Linked DNA regions of Danio rerio. The main gene of each other region encodes a partner of the protein of the gene in region 2 in a complex. Links are inferred from orthologs where the notes say so. Each region holds a gene or a part of one and is shown on either strand. Other genes may lie near its edges.

Region 1 (8,134 bases), on a different chromosome or scaffold from region 2:
CTTCCTTCCTGTTAAAGCCTTTATGTAGCTCAACTTAAGATGGAGAGTTAAGGCCGTTTGCCGTTAGCTACCTTCATATGAGGGAACACTTGGTGTATTACTTGAAATTTTTCACCATTAAGCAGTTAAATAAATGAATCATGTTTCGAATTTAAGCTTTTAAACATTAAAGTTTCCTCCAATGAAATGGTTTGATAACCTCAAATTAGCTTGAAGGAAAAAAAAAAAAAAAAAAAAAAAAAAAAGGTCAAACTTCGATAAATTCTAATTAGTCAAAAACCTGGTGTGAAAGTGCTGAAATGTAATTACCATGGTGCAACTTCACAAAAGCCATTTTTATTGAAGCCACTCAGAGCCAAGACAGGAAATGAGACAGGGTTAGGATGTCTTACATGTGCACTTTTATTGGAATTGAATTAGTCAGTGTACAGGTTGGCCCCACCAAATGTCTGGCACCGCCACGTTCCACACAGCTTTTACAATATGCCCAGGGGGAATGGAAACCTTTACATCTTGAATGGTAAAGCTTCGTTTTTTTGGAACAAAGAAAAAAAAATAAACCCAAGATTTTAAGGCTGAAAAGTACAAAAACCCAGACATTGTTTTGTTACATAATTTACATACAATACTACAATGTTAAGTATGCTCCCAATTACTGGGCAGCCTTCATAGAGGCAAATAAGTTTCGGAACAATGCATTTAACAAACATTTGGAATGACTAAAGAAAACAAAACATGGAGTCCTCAGATGCATTGTAGAACTTCGGGGATGCTTATTTGCCAAAAAACATTGCCGTCACCTTCACCGTTCCAGTTTTTAGATCCTGAGTCAAGCGCCAAAAATAACAAAAGCCATGCCAATGTTGTCGTTTGAAGTTTCTCTGCGCAGTTTGAGTCGGCGTGAAGTGGTAACAGTCCGTTTAGAAGCATTTGCGGTGGACGATGGATGGTCCAGACTCATCGTACTCCTGCTTGCTAATCCACATCTGCTGGAAGGTGGACAGGGAGGCCAGGATGGAGCCTCCGATCCAGACAGAGTATTTACGCTCAGGTGGGGCAATGATCTGTGGAGAGACGGATGATTAGCACGAGTTGCCACACATGTGGTTCAACTGTGAGGTAAAGGTCAAAGCTTAGACTGCAGCTCACCTTGATCTTCATTGTGCTAGGGGCCAGGGATGTGATCTCCTTCTGCATCCTGTCAGCAATGCCAGGGTACATGGTGGTACCACCAGACAATACAGTGTTGGCATACAGGTCCTTACGGATGTCGACGTCACACTTCATGATGGAGTTGAAGGTGGTCTCGTGGATACCGCAAGATTCCATACCTGCAGAGGAGGAGCAAACATTAGCCAAAGCTCTTCAAAACGACTACACACAGAGAGATATATAAATGTTTGTGAGGAAACCTACCCAAGAAGGATGGCTGGAACAGGGCCTCTGGGCACCTGAACCTCTCATTGCCAATGGTGATGACCTGTCCGTCAGGCAGCTCGTAGCTCTTCTCCAGGGAGGAGGAGGAAGCAGCGGTGCCCATCTCCTGCTCAAAGTCAAGGGCCACATAGCAGAGCTTCTCCTTGATGTCACGGACAATTTCCCTCTCAGCTGTGGTGGTGAAGCTGTAGCCTCTCTCGGTCAGGATCTTCATGAGGTAGTCAGTCAGGTCACGGCCAGCCAAGTCCAGACGGAGGATGGCATGGGGCAGGGCGTAACCCTCGTAGATGGGCACAGTGTGGGTGACACCATCACCAGAGTCCATCACGATACCAGTGGTACGACCGGAGGCATACAGGGACAGCACAGCCTGGATGGCAACGTACATGGCGGGGGTGTTGAAGGTCTCGAACATGATCTGCAAAGAGAGGATGGAGACGTTAACTGGATGTTCAAGTGTCTGCAGCACACAATCCACACTTCCATGCAGGGGTTAGTCAGAAATCCAGAGTAAAGGAACAAAAAGTGCAGAAGGAACTGCAAAACAGGCAGGCAAAGTTTGGATAACCTGCTGAGAAGAGGAGAAACTCAGGAGCTCAGAGGACACAAAGCCTGGAGGAAGTGAACCAATGAACAGGAGAACTTAAAATGAGGAAACGGGACAGACGAGAGGCTTCAGAGAACGGTTTGCAAGACAAAAACCAACCTGTGTCATCTTTTCCCTGTTGGCCTTGGGGTTCAGGGGGGCCTCTGTGAGCAGGACGGGGTGCTCCTCTGGGGCAACACGCAGCTCGTTGTAGAAGGTGTGATGCCAGATCTTCTCCATATCATCCCAGTTGGTGACAATACCGTGCTCGATGGGGTACTTCAGGGTCAGGATACCTCTCTTGCTCTGAGCCTCATCACCAACGTAGCTGTCTTTCTGTCCCATACCAACCATGACACCCTGTAATGCAAGGACACAAGCGTTACATTTTGTGAACTACTTGAGAAAGTTCTCAGTTTGGGTCAGAATCAAACTAATCGGTCTTCTCACCTGATGTCTGGGGCGACCCACGATGGATGGGAAGACAGCACGGGGAGCATCATCTCCAGCGAATCCGGCTTTGCACATACCGGATCCGTTGTCAACAACCAGTGCGGCAATTTCATCATCCATGGCTGAACTGTAAAAGAAAGGGAAACTGTTAGAATTGCACTGCTGCCAGGGAGAGGCGTTTCAGCAAGCATGTGACCATCTGGAGTCAACTTCCTGTTTTGCTCTGCATTCTACAGTCTGACCGCTGGTGGGCGCTAGTGACAGCGCGCGCCTCAGATATGCCAGACAAAGGAAGTCCCTCTGCATTCTCTCATTATTACCATAAAAGGCAATGGTTTGAGCCGCTTTGCGGCTGCCGGCGGTGTGGCACTCAGCCAGAGTCGTAGGGCTCAGTAAAAAGGAACAGATTTCGACATTCATCACACCAGGACCACTCCCTAAATTTTACACAAATGAAGTTTCACATCCTCTTCCACCCTCGCCTGCGATCAATTACACAACCGCATTTCAACGGGTGTCTGCCGCCGGGTGTTACTGCGTCACAGATCTGCAGTCAGTCCACGGACTCCTCGTGAGCGGAGACTTCACACTAAAGCATTTCTGGACGGTCACTCTCAGTCGGTTCAGTTCATAGTCTAGCCTCAAAAATCACCGAGATCCTGAAAAACTGATGGGCTCTGCTTCGACAGTCACAGCGGCTGAAGTGCAGCCAGAGAACTCCGCAGCCGTTATTAAAGTGGACCACACCTCTAAAATTCAAATCTTTCATAGCGGATACAACACTTCACTAACGTTAACGTTAATCTTCAGCTTCATTAAAGACAGAGGGGGCTGCAGGCTACATTTAAATAGAACACATAACAAAAAGAAAATTAACCAAGTTAAAACTAAATGCCAATACCCGTTACTAATAACAAGATCTTCGATCTTATAAAGCACGAATGAGCCGATGTTAGATTGATGGGGTTTACGTTACATCAGATGAGAGCTGGTTAGCCGGCTAGCTAAAGTAGGTCACACCCTGCTGCAGCACTGCCTGCACAAAGAACTTCCCATGCCGGCTATCCATCAAGTGTGCAACATGCTCACCAGCACCCTCAAAACTGTAGTTAAAAATCACATTTATGGCTGTTAAAGAGAGATTAGCCAGAACACAACTTTATATTAAGACTTAACACCCATTTCACACCGGCCTATTCAATGTTCAATGTCGTGCCTACGACTGGTCACGTTAAATTACCGACATTCTCACCTGCCACATCCACTAACGCTACAAAAAAGTTAAGATACAGCCAATATTTATTAAATGTAACATAGATTATCAAAAGAACCACCACTTATAAATCAAACCTAGTAGATAACTACAAAGAGACCGTTATGAACTGTCTAAAGACTTCATCAAATCATATTTATCCATTTACACATTTTACTTAACATTAATAGATAGAAACTATAATTAAACGCTTAAAAACTGTAAAACCAACTCACCTTGGGTTTGGGGGGTTGTCGACTTAAGAGAATGGGTTACAAGCAGATGATATTCCGCACTAGCTGCGTGTGGAGGAGCTCAAAGTGAGGCTGAAAAGCTGGGCGCGCTCTTTTATATGACGGCACATACCCGGCTCTAGCCATAAAAGGTAAACTTTCGGAGCTCTGTGCTCTGATTGGTCCAGCGTCACACACCCGGCTGTCGCGTGCACATTGCTACACTTGCTTCTTGCAACTTGAGAGTGAAAGAAGGGGAAGCTTAACTGGTTAAAGAACAAGGCCATGGCGATTTCCTATAAAACTGGAATTTTTATTTGCAAATTTTAACACAGAATTTTTCGTATTTTTCTGCGACAACGCCAAGACTCAATTAAACTTTTCAAAAAGTCTGTGCAGAGTTACAAGTGGCAGAATGCGTCATAATGATGGATGCCTCCATGATCCTGTGTTGTGTTTTCAATCTAACACAACAGCAGCTCTGTAGGTCATTTACCTCTTGTGTTCACGAAATACCGTAATACAAACAATGGGGGATCTAATGAGTACTTTTCCATGTATAAAATGGACATTTTTTTTATCCAAATTAGGATGACACTACTTGTAGTATGTTGTATGAGCAACTAGCTGGTCTTAGCTCAGTAGTAATGCACTTTAAGAAAGTGCTTTAATAACTTTGAATGAATGGGACCTGCATTCCATGCCACATTGCTTCACTATTTTTGTGTGTACAAGTTACACAATGATGTATAAAGTGAGTGATAGCAGTTACATTTTTGCAAGTGGGCCTACCTCAGGTTTAATGTTCATTAGAAATGTTATATGTCAAGTCTTGATCTTAAATAGTTAAATTTTCTGTTCATAATTTCATGTCGTGTCTATGCAGACATAACATTTCTTTTTAAAGAGGTTTATAAGGATAAATCCTAAGAACATAATTCTCATTAAAAGTAGAAAAAAAAAACACTGAAAGTGTTGGTGATCAGCTACAATAAATAATATTTTGCACACATTTCAGATATTGCCACACTGAATAACAGATAAAGCTGTGCTTGAGCAGCAGTGATCATGATAAACTACATGTGACTTTTTACTGTGTAACTTGGGAGTAATGCACATGGCCTTCAGTGGGAGTTATAAACAAAAACAGCTGATTGTGTTAAAAGTGCTTGCTGATACCAAGGACAATGAGGTGATGTGACTTTTATTTTGTTTTTGGCAAATTCCAAGTATTTTGACAAGACTTTTTACAATTCTGAGCATTTTACCTCTAAAATATGGAAGTTTCTCAGAGTAAACGTTGAGTATAGGTAATGACTAGGCCCACACAGAATCTGTGCGCACAGAAATCTGCAGATTTCCCCAGATCTTTAGCCCATCATTGAGTTTATTTATTGACTTGTGTATTTGGATTTGCTCTTTAGTGTTTGGACTCTCAGCAGTAAAAATTAACTCACACTGAACTAAACTGAACTGAACTTAAACTCTTAAAAAATGGACTGACACAGTTTCAATTTACTATACTAATCCTCTAAGTTAAGCTGCTTTGACACAATCTACATTGTAAAAGCACTCTAGAAATAAAGACAAAGGTGTAAATATATGTTTATTCAGTTTTTAAATACATTTCCGTAATATTATTGACTAATATGAAAGTGTTCATTTGATTACAATATGGTCTGAAAGTAATGTTTTCTGTCTTTTAGAAGATATATTATGTGAGAGACTTGCTTTGTCGACCAAATAATTGGATCTAGGTGGACTTGCATTGTATATATTTATTAAAAGTTAAAAAGGTATTATTTTTTTTTATTTCATATAGTAAGTTTTTAGTTACGATACTCCCGAAAAAATCTCGCATAAATCACAGATTGTTTACAAAATTCTCTGCAGAAAAAGCAAAAAATGTCAGCAGATTCTGTCTGGCCCTAGCTATGACCCAACAGAGCAAACAGAATAAATACAACGAAATTTAATATACAGCATCAGATATAAAAGTGAATGTTTTATAGCTGTTTGTGTATAGAAAAAATGAGAAAAAACAGACATAAACAGCATCATAGTATGAATGTCTAAAAACTTGTTATCTGCAAACTGGATACTCATCAATAAGGTCTCCTCCTTCCATCCCCCAACATCTTTTCAAAGAATGCCAAGCATCCATCCACACCCCCCTTTATAAACACACAGGTTTTTATAAGATAAGCAAATATTTAGCACCAATCTGTGGTTAATGTGATGTAACACACAACAAACAATGCATTCAGCATATCCAGTCAATTCTATTTTTTAACCAACCATGCTTCTCTTTGTAACTTTTGTAGATTGCACAGGGGATCTTGTTACAGCAGATGTGCTTTTGTGAGTCCATAGTTCCCCCGAGGACCACCACCCTTCCCTGATAGCAGCCCACTACAGCCTTCCCATTCATCTCTAAATAAGGTACTGTCCTAATGAACCTCAGCTTTGCCCCATGACATAAGATTTCCAGAGCAATAAAGTGTTGTTGACTGTCAGTGTGATAATGTCATTGTCCTTTAGAATGCCAAAGTCTCTTATCTCAATTCTGATACCAAAGCTCTCCCAGTACACCATTCATGCATAATGATAAGAAACATATTTATGAAGTTGTTCTCAAAGGAACACTTTTTGGGCGTGTCATGCTGCATTTCATAGTTTGTTGTTTGGCACCCACATAAATAAAACAAGTGTGTTTTTGATAATAATAATAATAAGGGATGCACCGATACCAGTATCAGGTTTTGGGTCGATACTTGGTTAAAATATTCTTACTCGTATTGCACATGAAATGCTGAAACCACGCACCAATACCACTCAACAAGATTTCATTACATGGATGTGATTTGTTGTCCTACCTGACATCGATGTCTTGATGTATTAATGAATGTCTGATATATTAATAGCTTAGTCTTTATAAACCATCCGTTTATAAAATACACTTTTAACAAATCTATAGGCTTCTGACGAATAAACCGAATATTCAATATGATCTTTGATCATGTAATGTGTAAAGTTGTGATGGCGCAAGCATAACTTATCCTTTAAATGTCCACGTTTAATCGGTAATCGATACAGGGTTGTCAACAACGTGCGTATATTCTTAGCTTAAAATATCCTTCTGGTAAAGATTTTTGTGTTCATCCTTGCGACAGGCAAGAAATAAAACCTTCTTTCAAATTAATTACATTGAAACCAAATCCAAGAAGTATCAGAATCGGTACTCAGTATTGTCGAGTAACAGAAACTATTATACTTGTACTCATATCGGTTTGTAAAAAAGTGGTATCGGTTTATCTCTAATCATTCATTCATTCATTCATTTTCAACTTAGTCCTTTAATTAACCAGGGGTCACCATAGGGGAATGAACCGCCAACTTATCCTGCATATGTTTTACACAGCAGATGTCCTTCCAGTTGCAACCTAACACTGGGAAACACCTATACACTCTCATTCACACACACACACACACTCACTATGGTCAATTTAGCTTACCCCATTCACCTATACATCATGTCTTTGGACTTGTGAGGGGAAACCAGAGCACCGGGAGGAAACCTACTTGAACAGGGAGAACATGCAAACTCCACACAGAACTGCCAACTGATCCAGCCGGGGCTCTAAACAGCAACCTACTTGCTGTGAGGTAATTGTGCCACCCATCGCGCCACCGTGATGTCCATCCCTAATAATAATAATACAGTTTATTTATAGTGCGCTTTTCTCAGACCCAAAGCGCTACAATGCATACAAGGCAAACAGTAACAAAGCAGAACAATAAAAAAGCTGTAAAAACACCACAATAAGACAATAAAATATGAACAATACAATGTAATTATTAAATTGACAAAAATAATCAACCTAAATTAAGACCAACAGTGAAAAGGTGAGTCTTGAAAAGTTTCTTCAAACTGGAATTCCTGATATTTTTTCTTTCCTTATTTTCTTTTATGTATTTTTTTTTTACCCTCCTTGTCTTGGGAATAGCGGAAGCGAAGCCCTTCATTTGTCCTATAAACAGCAGAAGGACCACCGATTGATTTTAGATTGACTTGTTCTTGGTTGCTTGATGGTGCAGATACTCAGGCTTGAAAGGAAGTCACATATATACTGACAGCTGGCCTCTTAGTCTAGAGATTGGATTAACCCCCTA
Region 2 (7,596 bases):
TATAAACTGGCATTAGAGCATCACACAACTGAACAAAGAGTTGTGGCACATGTGATGCTGGAGCCTTTAATAAGGTATGCGTGGCGAAGCCTGCACTGGCATCATGTCACACTAGGTCACTCCACTGACCCAGATTCAACCCCTCCCATGTCTGTGCCCCATCTGCCAGCGCTGCACAAAGCCATTGTATGCAGTGGCACACGATACCTACACCACTGGCTACACGTTATAAATAGTTTTTATATAATGTCTTTACAAATTAAATATACAGCAGACGCGTTATATTTTTGTATTAAACTCGAGTCTTCTCTATATGATTAAGGAAGACGAACCCACGCACAGCTGATCAGGGTCACTGGGTTTGCCAAGCCCTGGTTTATCAAAAACTACGAATTTGATGCCACCTGGTGGAAGGAACTAGAAAGACACAGGCACAATCAAGGCATTGTTTGCATCCATTAATAATTATTAGTTTCAGTCAGCTGAGATAAGAGGAAATTACAGTTAACCCTAAATATGTGGCTAACTCAGTTTTTTTTTTTTTAGATAAGTTTATAGATGTATGAGGCTTTTCTCATTTAATGTAAAATTGTGTAAAAGGAGACAGGGAATGTGCTTTCAACTACCTTTGGAACTGTCAAAAGTAGATAAGCTTTCAGATTTCAGATCTCATTTACACCGGTATTTAGCATTGTCCACTTGGGACCAAGGGACAAAAATAACATGGAAACTACAAAAAAAAAGCATATTTATTGACTAAACGCATCTCTGGCCAAAGTCTACAGTATGCTTACATAGGTCAGTATATATTTATATATTTATTTTTTAAGAGACTGAGCTTCAACAGGTGGTTTGTCAAGCCCACTCACCTGTGAAGCATACTGCATAAATGCGCAATGTTTTCTTTTTTGTTTTTTTGGAAATGACTTTGTTAATATACGGGAAAAAAAACATCATGATTTAATGCATTATGGTTTTCATGTGGTGGCAGAGAATGTGTAACATGCTGCAATTAAAGAAAACAAATGCAATAAAAAAGAAAAACACCAGTAAATTAAGAAAAGATCTTCATCCGTTTGACAGCACACATGCTGCAAATTCTCACAATGCATGCATAAAAAAAAAAATAAAAAAAAAATAAAAAAAAGACACTACATTTTCTCATGACAAACAAATTAATAAAATGTGCTGCATTTTCTTACAACGCAAAAAATTAACGAAAATGTGCTGCATTTTCGCACAACATTCGTAAAAACAAAGAAACACAATGGAAATGTTTTTAAGGGGACCCAAGAACATGACGAATACTGCTGTGCCGTGACCATTGCTCAGTGAAGTTGTAGGTGATCTTTGAAAGGCAAGTTATTTGTTTATTTTAACATCTGAATTCTCTTGTCTTTTGTATTTATGTAGTCTAAATGAGGGGTTTTCAACCTGTGGGGAGACGTTGAGACGTGCACTAGAATAATTTATGATGATGATTTTTATGCGTTCACTAGAGTGAATCTGATTAACGTTAGTTCCACAGCTGACTTTCAGGCACCTGTAGAGTTAATTTGTTTGAGTGAAATATATACAAATTAAAATGGACCATTTTGTCTTTTTAAAATGAAGGACGGTGAATAAAAGTAAAGCCAGGGAGCCTTCTGACAAAAAAAGTGCCCTTTAGAATCAAATCAGCAGGATGCCCTTCTGGATCTTTCACTTACTTCGAAGACATTACTGACTATGTTTACATGGACATCAGTAATCTAGTTATTTGTCTTAATAGACAATAATATAATCAAGGTGTTTACGTGAAGTGCTTTTTAAATGTTGCATCACCAGGGTATCCACGTTTCCTGCCGAGATTTCAGTAATTTTGGGTGACTTCAGTTCGCCAGTTCCAGTTTCACTCATGAACATTTCATTTATGCCCCCGTGACAAACTGGGGTACTAGATGCAAATAAGGAGTAAGGACTGATGGAGAAGTGTTGTTTCAATGGAATTTAAAACCGCACGCCAAATGGACAGAAAAGAAAACTTCTGCATTTTGCGATGTGCGTGTCTGCAGTACTTTACTGACATCTGTGTATGAGGATCTTGACGCAAAATGCGCAAAAAGTCCTACATGACAGTAATAGTTTGACTGCAATGTTTACTTCCATAATGCCACTAATATATGCATACTCCACGTTAATTCTATTTCTGTTTAGTTTAATTTTGAAGTCTGATTAAGGTCATCAAAAATCGCTGTTTACACGCTAGACTCTTATTGTCTTAATTGTATTAAAATCTATTAAAGTATTGGTGTTCTACGTATACATACTCTATGTTCGACTCAACCACACCATCAAGGCTCTGCAAACTTGGCTAGGCACAAGTGAAATTGGTGTCATGTGTCCTAAAAAGTTAAAACCCCCCGGTCTGTTTTTAAAAACAACTAGTTTGCTTTGTAAGGATTTGCAGCACGTGTGTTATCGGATGGAGATCCTTTCTCAATTTGCTAATGTTTTTCATAAATGCATGTGTTTTCTTAAATTGCAGCATGTTAAGCTCTTTGGGCCACTGTACTTTCATGATGTTTAATTGACAAGAAATAATTATACATTGCACCTCTTAGTCACTATTCTTACTTAACTTTATTTATTTTTTGCTGAATACCTCAATATTTTGATTGTTCATCTGATCTCAAGACCTGCACTAGCAGAACCCAATGCATCCTTGACTAAAACGATTTGGGAACCACTGTGCTAGGCCATGAGTACAGAGAGCGTAGTGCAAATTTCATGCACTGACGACTGTATTTGTCAGTATGCATACACCAAGCATTTACATCAAAGCTGAAGTAAAGTCCGTTGTGTAGGCAAGATGGAAATCTCTAATCCAATCAGAGCAGTTAATGAATTGGTATAAAAGTTCTTACCCGTCTTCTCGGGTTCTTCAGGAGCTGTGCCAGCAATGCCACTGCTCTCCAGGCCAAATGCAGGGTCCACTTTCCCTGTGCTGCGTGCGGCTTCCTGCACCTTCTTCACATGAGCCTCCACTAGCTCTGCAGGAACCTCCTCACGCACACGGGAGAACTCATCTATAATCCATAAAGAGAAATATATTCTTAAAATACAGGTAGAGACACATCATTAAAGTCCACATGAACCTGTAGTTGCAACCATTTATTTTTGTATTGCGATGCAGTTTCCAGACAAACTAAATAAATGTGCCAACAGTAGGTGTGACTAGTTTTTTGTACTGCAAGCTGATTGGATGTAGTAAAGCAGGTATTTCATTCAGAAAGATCAGTAAAAGGGTCTCGGGAGAGTCATTACAACCCAACAGACATCACCTCCTCCTCACAATTTATGTTGGTTGTTAAAACTGACAGTTGGAGGGGTGTGGTTAGGTATGCTAGCCACTCCCAATACCTCACACAGATGTAATCTGACAATTTAACTAAAATCAAACAGTAAGTGCATTCTCAGATTTAAATTTTAGATTACACAGACAAACCTTTTTTATCATAATGAAATGTGCAGATGAATTACTCACAACAAAACCAGCAATGTGAGCTAACAAAATCAATATGGTTTGCTTTGACTTCATGTGTACTTTAAAAGATGTATATTGGACAAACTGGACATACCCAGAGCAGCTTTGGCAGCAGCCGCGGCCACACGCGGATCCACAACAGAGGCGAGGAACGCAACCGTGCTCATAACTGGATTCCCTGATTGACTGAATGGGATCGGCTGGTAGGCAAGAGGGCCTAGCGAAGCGTCAGAGCTCTCCAGGTACTGATCCTCTATGGGCAACCGCAGGAAGTGCAAGATGCACTCATCTTGTGTACGACTGCCCACATGCTCAGAAACTTTATTCCAGTCATCCTTGTACATTTCCAAAGCCTGTACCAAGCAGTTTAAAAATATATATTAATATCAAGAAAATGAAAAGGTGTGTGAAAGAAGTGTTGAGTCTGATCTTACCTCTAACAGAAGCAATGTTTCTTGTTCTGTCCAGTCTCTGCCACCTGCAGCTCCTTTACCCTGTAAAGCAAAAGAGTAAGGGGTTTTTAGATTGTGCTTTAAAATAAACTTTAAATGTCAATATTTGGAATTCATGACAATATTAAAAATCAGTAAGTTCTCAGAAGATAACTTTATCCTAAATTATTATTATTATTATTTTTAAGGTAGTTTCTTTAAGGTAAATGAAGGTTATAAAGTGTGTTATTTGCAGAGCTTCTCTATCAAAAAAGAAAAAAAACTAAAGTTTTAAAAGAGATAAAGCCTTAGAGAGGTAAAAAAAAAAAAAAGTAATGCAAAAGTAACTCCATGTAATGTAACAGTACTTTCCATATAAATTAAGTAAAGCAACTAGTTACTTTTTTGGGGAGTAACTCGTTATTTTAATGCATTACTTTTAAAAGTAACTCTCCCCCCACAATGGTCCTGATATTGGTCAGATTGCACATGCCTCTGCATTATCCGTCTAGATCAGGGACGGGCAAACTTGATTCTCGAGGGCCGGTGTCCCTGCAGAGTTTTGTTCCAACACTAGTCAAACACACCTGAACATGCTAATCAGTGTCTTTAAGATCACAAGAAATCTATAAGCAGGTGTGTTTGATTAGGGTTGGAGCTAAACTGTGCAGGACACATACCCTCCAAGACCGAGTTTGCCCACGCCTGGTCTAGATGGATTGATAAAATGACTCCATGGGCTTATTTATGGCTTTATCTAGGCATACATGGCACTTCCCATACAAAGCACTTCCCATAAGAGGAGACTCTGTTTGCAATAACTATTGTGCTTACTCTGAGAATCATACTGCAAGTCCAAAATCGGTTCTTTGTTGCAACAGCCAAAGCTCCGAACCAGGCAAAGTGATTCTAAAGTGGCATCAAACCATCGTTTGGCTAGAAACAAATATTGCTTGTTCAGAGGATGAGGGCAGAGCTACGGTGATCGACAGGACAAACAATAACCACCATTTTTTAAACCGCAGCAGAACACGATACCAAACGTTATTATCACTTGTTATCTCAGTCTACTCAAATAAAACATGCATGAACATTTATTATTTCTTGATGAAACGCACTATCACTCTCTCTACAAAATACAGCACACTCCTCGAACACGTCGGATTCGCTGTGTTTACATGTTGACATGAATCTGCAAATCCATTGAAATAAATGGTAATGCAACATTGATGGTATGTATATATCTGCCACTTCTGCAATTGTATTTCACTGACTTTAAACCAATGCTTTAAGGTGGCACTCTAGCCTATCGAAAAGCGAAGTAGTTCATAGAAGGCTCGCCAGATGAACTAGTCCGGAAACTGCAAGAGCCTCTAGCTCTAGCTCTGAACTAGCACCCGGTTCATGCTGTTGGAAAAGCGGTATTAGACACTGCTGCTTGTTGCGCAACATTTGTTTCGGTTCAGGAATTACAATTTAGTTAATTGAATCTAACAATTTTTCATCTCGAACCAACTGCTGTGCAATAGAACATTAAAACTACATCTATATGCCTAAACAAACCGAACTAAAGGAAGAAACAGCAGAGAGTCCTGAAACAAATGTTCCACATAATCACATCAAGGAACTATAAAAGACAGAAGAGCGAGCAGTATTGGGTTTGGCAGAAGGCACAGGGATTGCGACTTGCCTTGAGATTCTTCTTGGAGTAAATATCTGTACGGAGGCCAAAGTTCTGCAGGTCGGTTGGCTTGTCTTTGCCCTTTTCTGGGAAGTTCAGCATCTGCTGAGCAGGGGGAACCTGGCAGGAACAGCAGAGAATTTGTTGTAGCAGATTCAAAAGAAAGCCTCGTGCCTTCTGGGAATTAAAAAGGAAGTGACCCCAGTCTCACCTGTGGGGGACGGTGGTGCAGCGGCACCAGGCCAGAGGGAGTATCAGCCAGAACATTGAAATGTGAGGTTGGTGGAGGGCCCATAGGGAGAGGTCTGCTCTCCGCGTCCACCTGGTAGTTCACCAGTCCCCACTGCTCCAAGAAGGCATGCACTCTGGGAGGAAAAAAAACACAATGAAAATGCACAATAGGGCTCCGTATTGACAATTTACAATTTGATTTTTAAGCTCAAGATTCAGATAAAATCCTATCTCATCTCTATTTCATTAAGGTATAGATCAGGCACAGTTTTAAAAGTTTGTCAAACATTACCATTTTTGGTAAATTTCAATTATTTGTTCAAATTCCAAGTTTAAATAAACTTGTAAACAAACATTTAATTCAAAGTTTACCTTTTTATATTCACACTAAATTCCAGTTTGTTCAAAAGTACAATTATTTTTTATGACAAATTTGTTCAATTATACATTAAATACTAATGAGTCAAGTAACTATGAATATGAACATATAATGGAAATGTTTAGTATTTTTTTTTAGCTATTTGTTTGTTTATTGTCACAGCAACTTATGGCTATTTCATGGCAAGATCAATGCAAGGTTATTATAGTTAACCAAAACAAATGAAAAAAACAAAAACTAGAATTGAGAAACATTTTCGATAACTGAAACTGCATTGTGTATAATCAAACTAACTAAAATTATAGCAGAAAAGTTCTTCAATTTCGTCTTTGTAAATGTATTTAATAAATACTGTAAGCCTTTTAGAAGTAAATCTATCTGCTAAATTTTTTTTAACCGGATCTTCTAAGTAAAATGTGAAATTTGAAATGATTTGAGTCTTCAGTAACGTTAAGCACTTACCCACAAACAACTTGCGTTTCAACATGCCTGATACCCCTTTCTAACTTTAAATAAACCATTACATAGAGTTATTCAGTTATTAGAACAGTACACAGATTATATTTGAGAAGCTGAACCAATTATAACTCGCATGGGTGATTCATCAGATGGTGAATCGAACACAAACAGTACATGACAGCCTGCTGTGTCTGGGAAGACTGACCACCCATCACTACTGTGCATTTACCCTCAGAAGCAGCATTGCACACATATTTTACTTCAAGCTGCTATCTTGTGGGCTATTGAGAATGGGTAGATGGTAGGGTTCTTGTGTCAAAATGTAGCCTATTCTTGTTTGAGTTTTCAATTATGCTCTCATGATTTTGAATCTTGCACCTAACAATTATCCTAATTTACAAAAAAATAAAAAAATAACTTAATAAATAGAACAGTGAAACTAATAAATACTAAACTAAAACTAAGCAATTTCAAAATATAAAAACTAATAAAAACTAGTAAATCTATCTCTAAAAGAAATTAAAGCTAAATTAATTTGAAAAAAAAAAGCTAAAACTAATGAAAAATCTAAAACTATTAAACAAATGTAGATATACATATATGCAACAATGAATGTGCTAATATAGACAACTTAATAATTCAATGAGAGGGTAAAAAAAATAACATTAAAACAGATTTTTAGATTTTGTTATTTAATATATCCAACACTGAGCTAAATATGGTTTGCACATTGCCACATCAGCAACTTTTGATTTGCTATGGACTTTAAATGGCTTGACGGAAATGCAACATTAAATTACTGATGTCTTTTCATACTTGAAATAGCCACACCAACTAAAATTGAAAGTCCAACTGAACCCACTCTCTGTATATTATTATAATGAAGTCA

What was found. The genes of interacting proteins can lie anywhere in the genome.
Region 1: smarcc1a (region 2) and actb2 share a complex: the UniProt entries of both Homo sapiens proteins name them as parts of the BAF complex. The link is inferred for Danio rerio from reciprocal best matches to the Homo sapiens genes SMARCC1 and ACTB.

The regions. Positions count from the first base shown.
Region 1 is NC_133178.1:39,479,997-39,488,130, forward strand, and holds actb2 (actin, cytoplasmic 2), read right to left. Parts: upstream 5,293-8,134; 5' UTR 5,280-5,292; intron 4,055-5,279; 5' UTR 3,965-4,054; intron 2,604-3,964; 5' UTR 2,597-2,603; coding exon 2,474-2,596; intron 2,384-2,473; coding exon 2,144-2,383; intron 1,856-2,143; coding exon 1,417-1,855; intron 1,332-1,416; coding exon 1,150-1,331; intron 1,065-1,149; coding exon 921-1,064; 3' UTR 316-920; downstream 1-315. UniProt on the Homo sapiens protein: Actin is a highly conserved protein that polymerizes to produce filaments that form cross-linked networks in the cytoplasm of cells.
Region 2 is NC_133191.1:46,864,691-46,872,286, forward strand, and holds part of smarcc1a (SWI/SNF complex subunit SMARCC1), read right to left. Parts: intron 6,004-7,596; coding exon 5,850-6,003; intron 5,759-5,849; coding exon 5,648-5,758; exon of another isoform or gene 4,741-5,647; intron 4,426-4,740; exon of another isoform or gene 4,153-4,425; intron 4,021-4,152; coding exon 3,961-4,020; intron 3,880-3,960; coding exon 3,621-3,879; intron 3,069-3,620; coding exon 2,907-3,068; intron 1-2,906. UniProt on the Homo sapiens protein: Involved in transcriptional activation and repression of select genes by chromatin remodeling (alteration of DNA-nucleosome topology).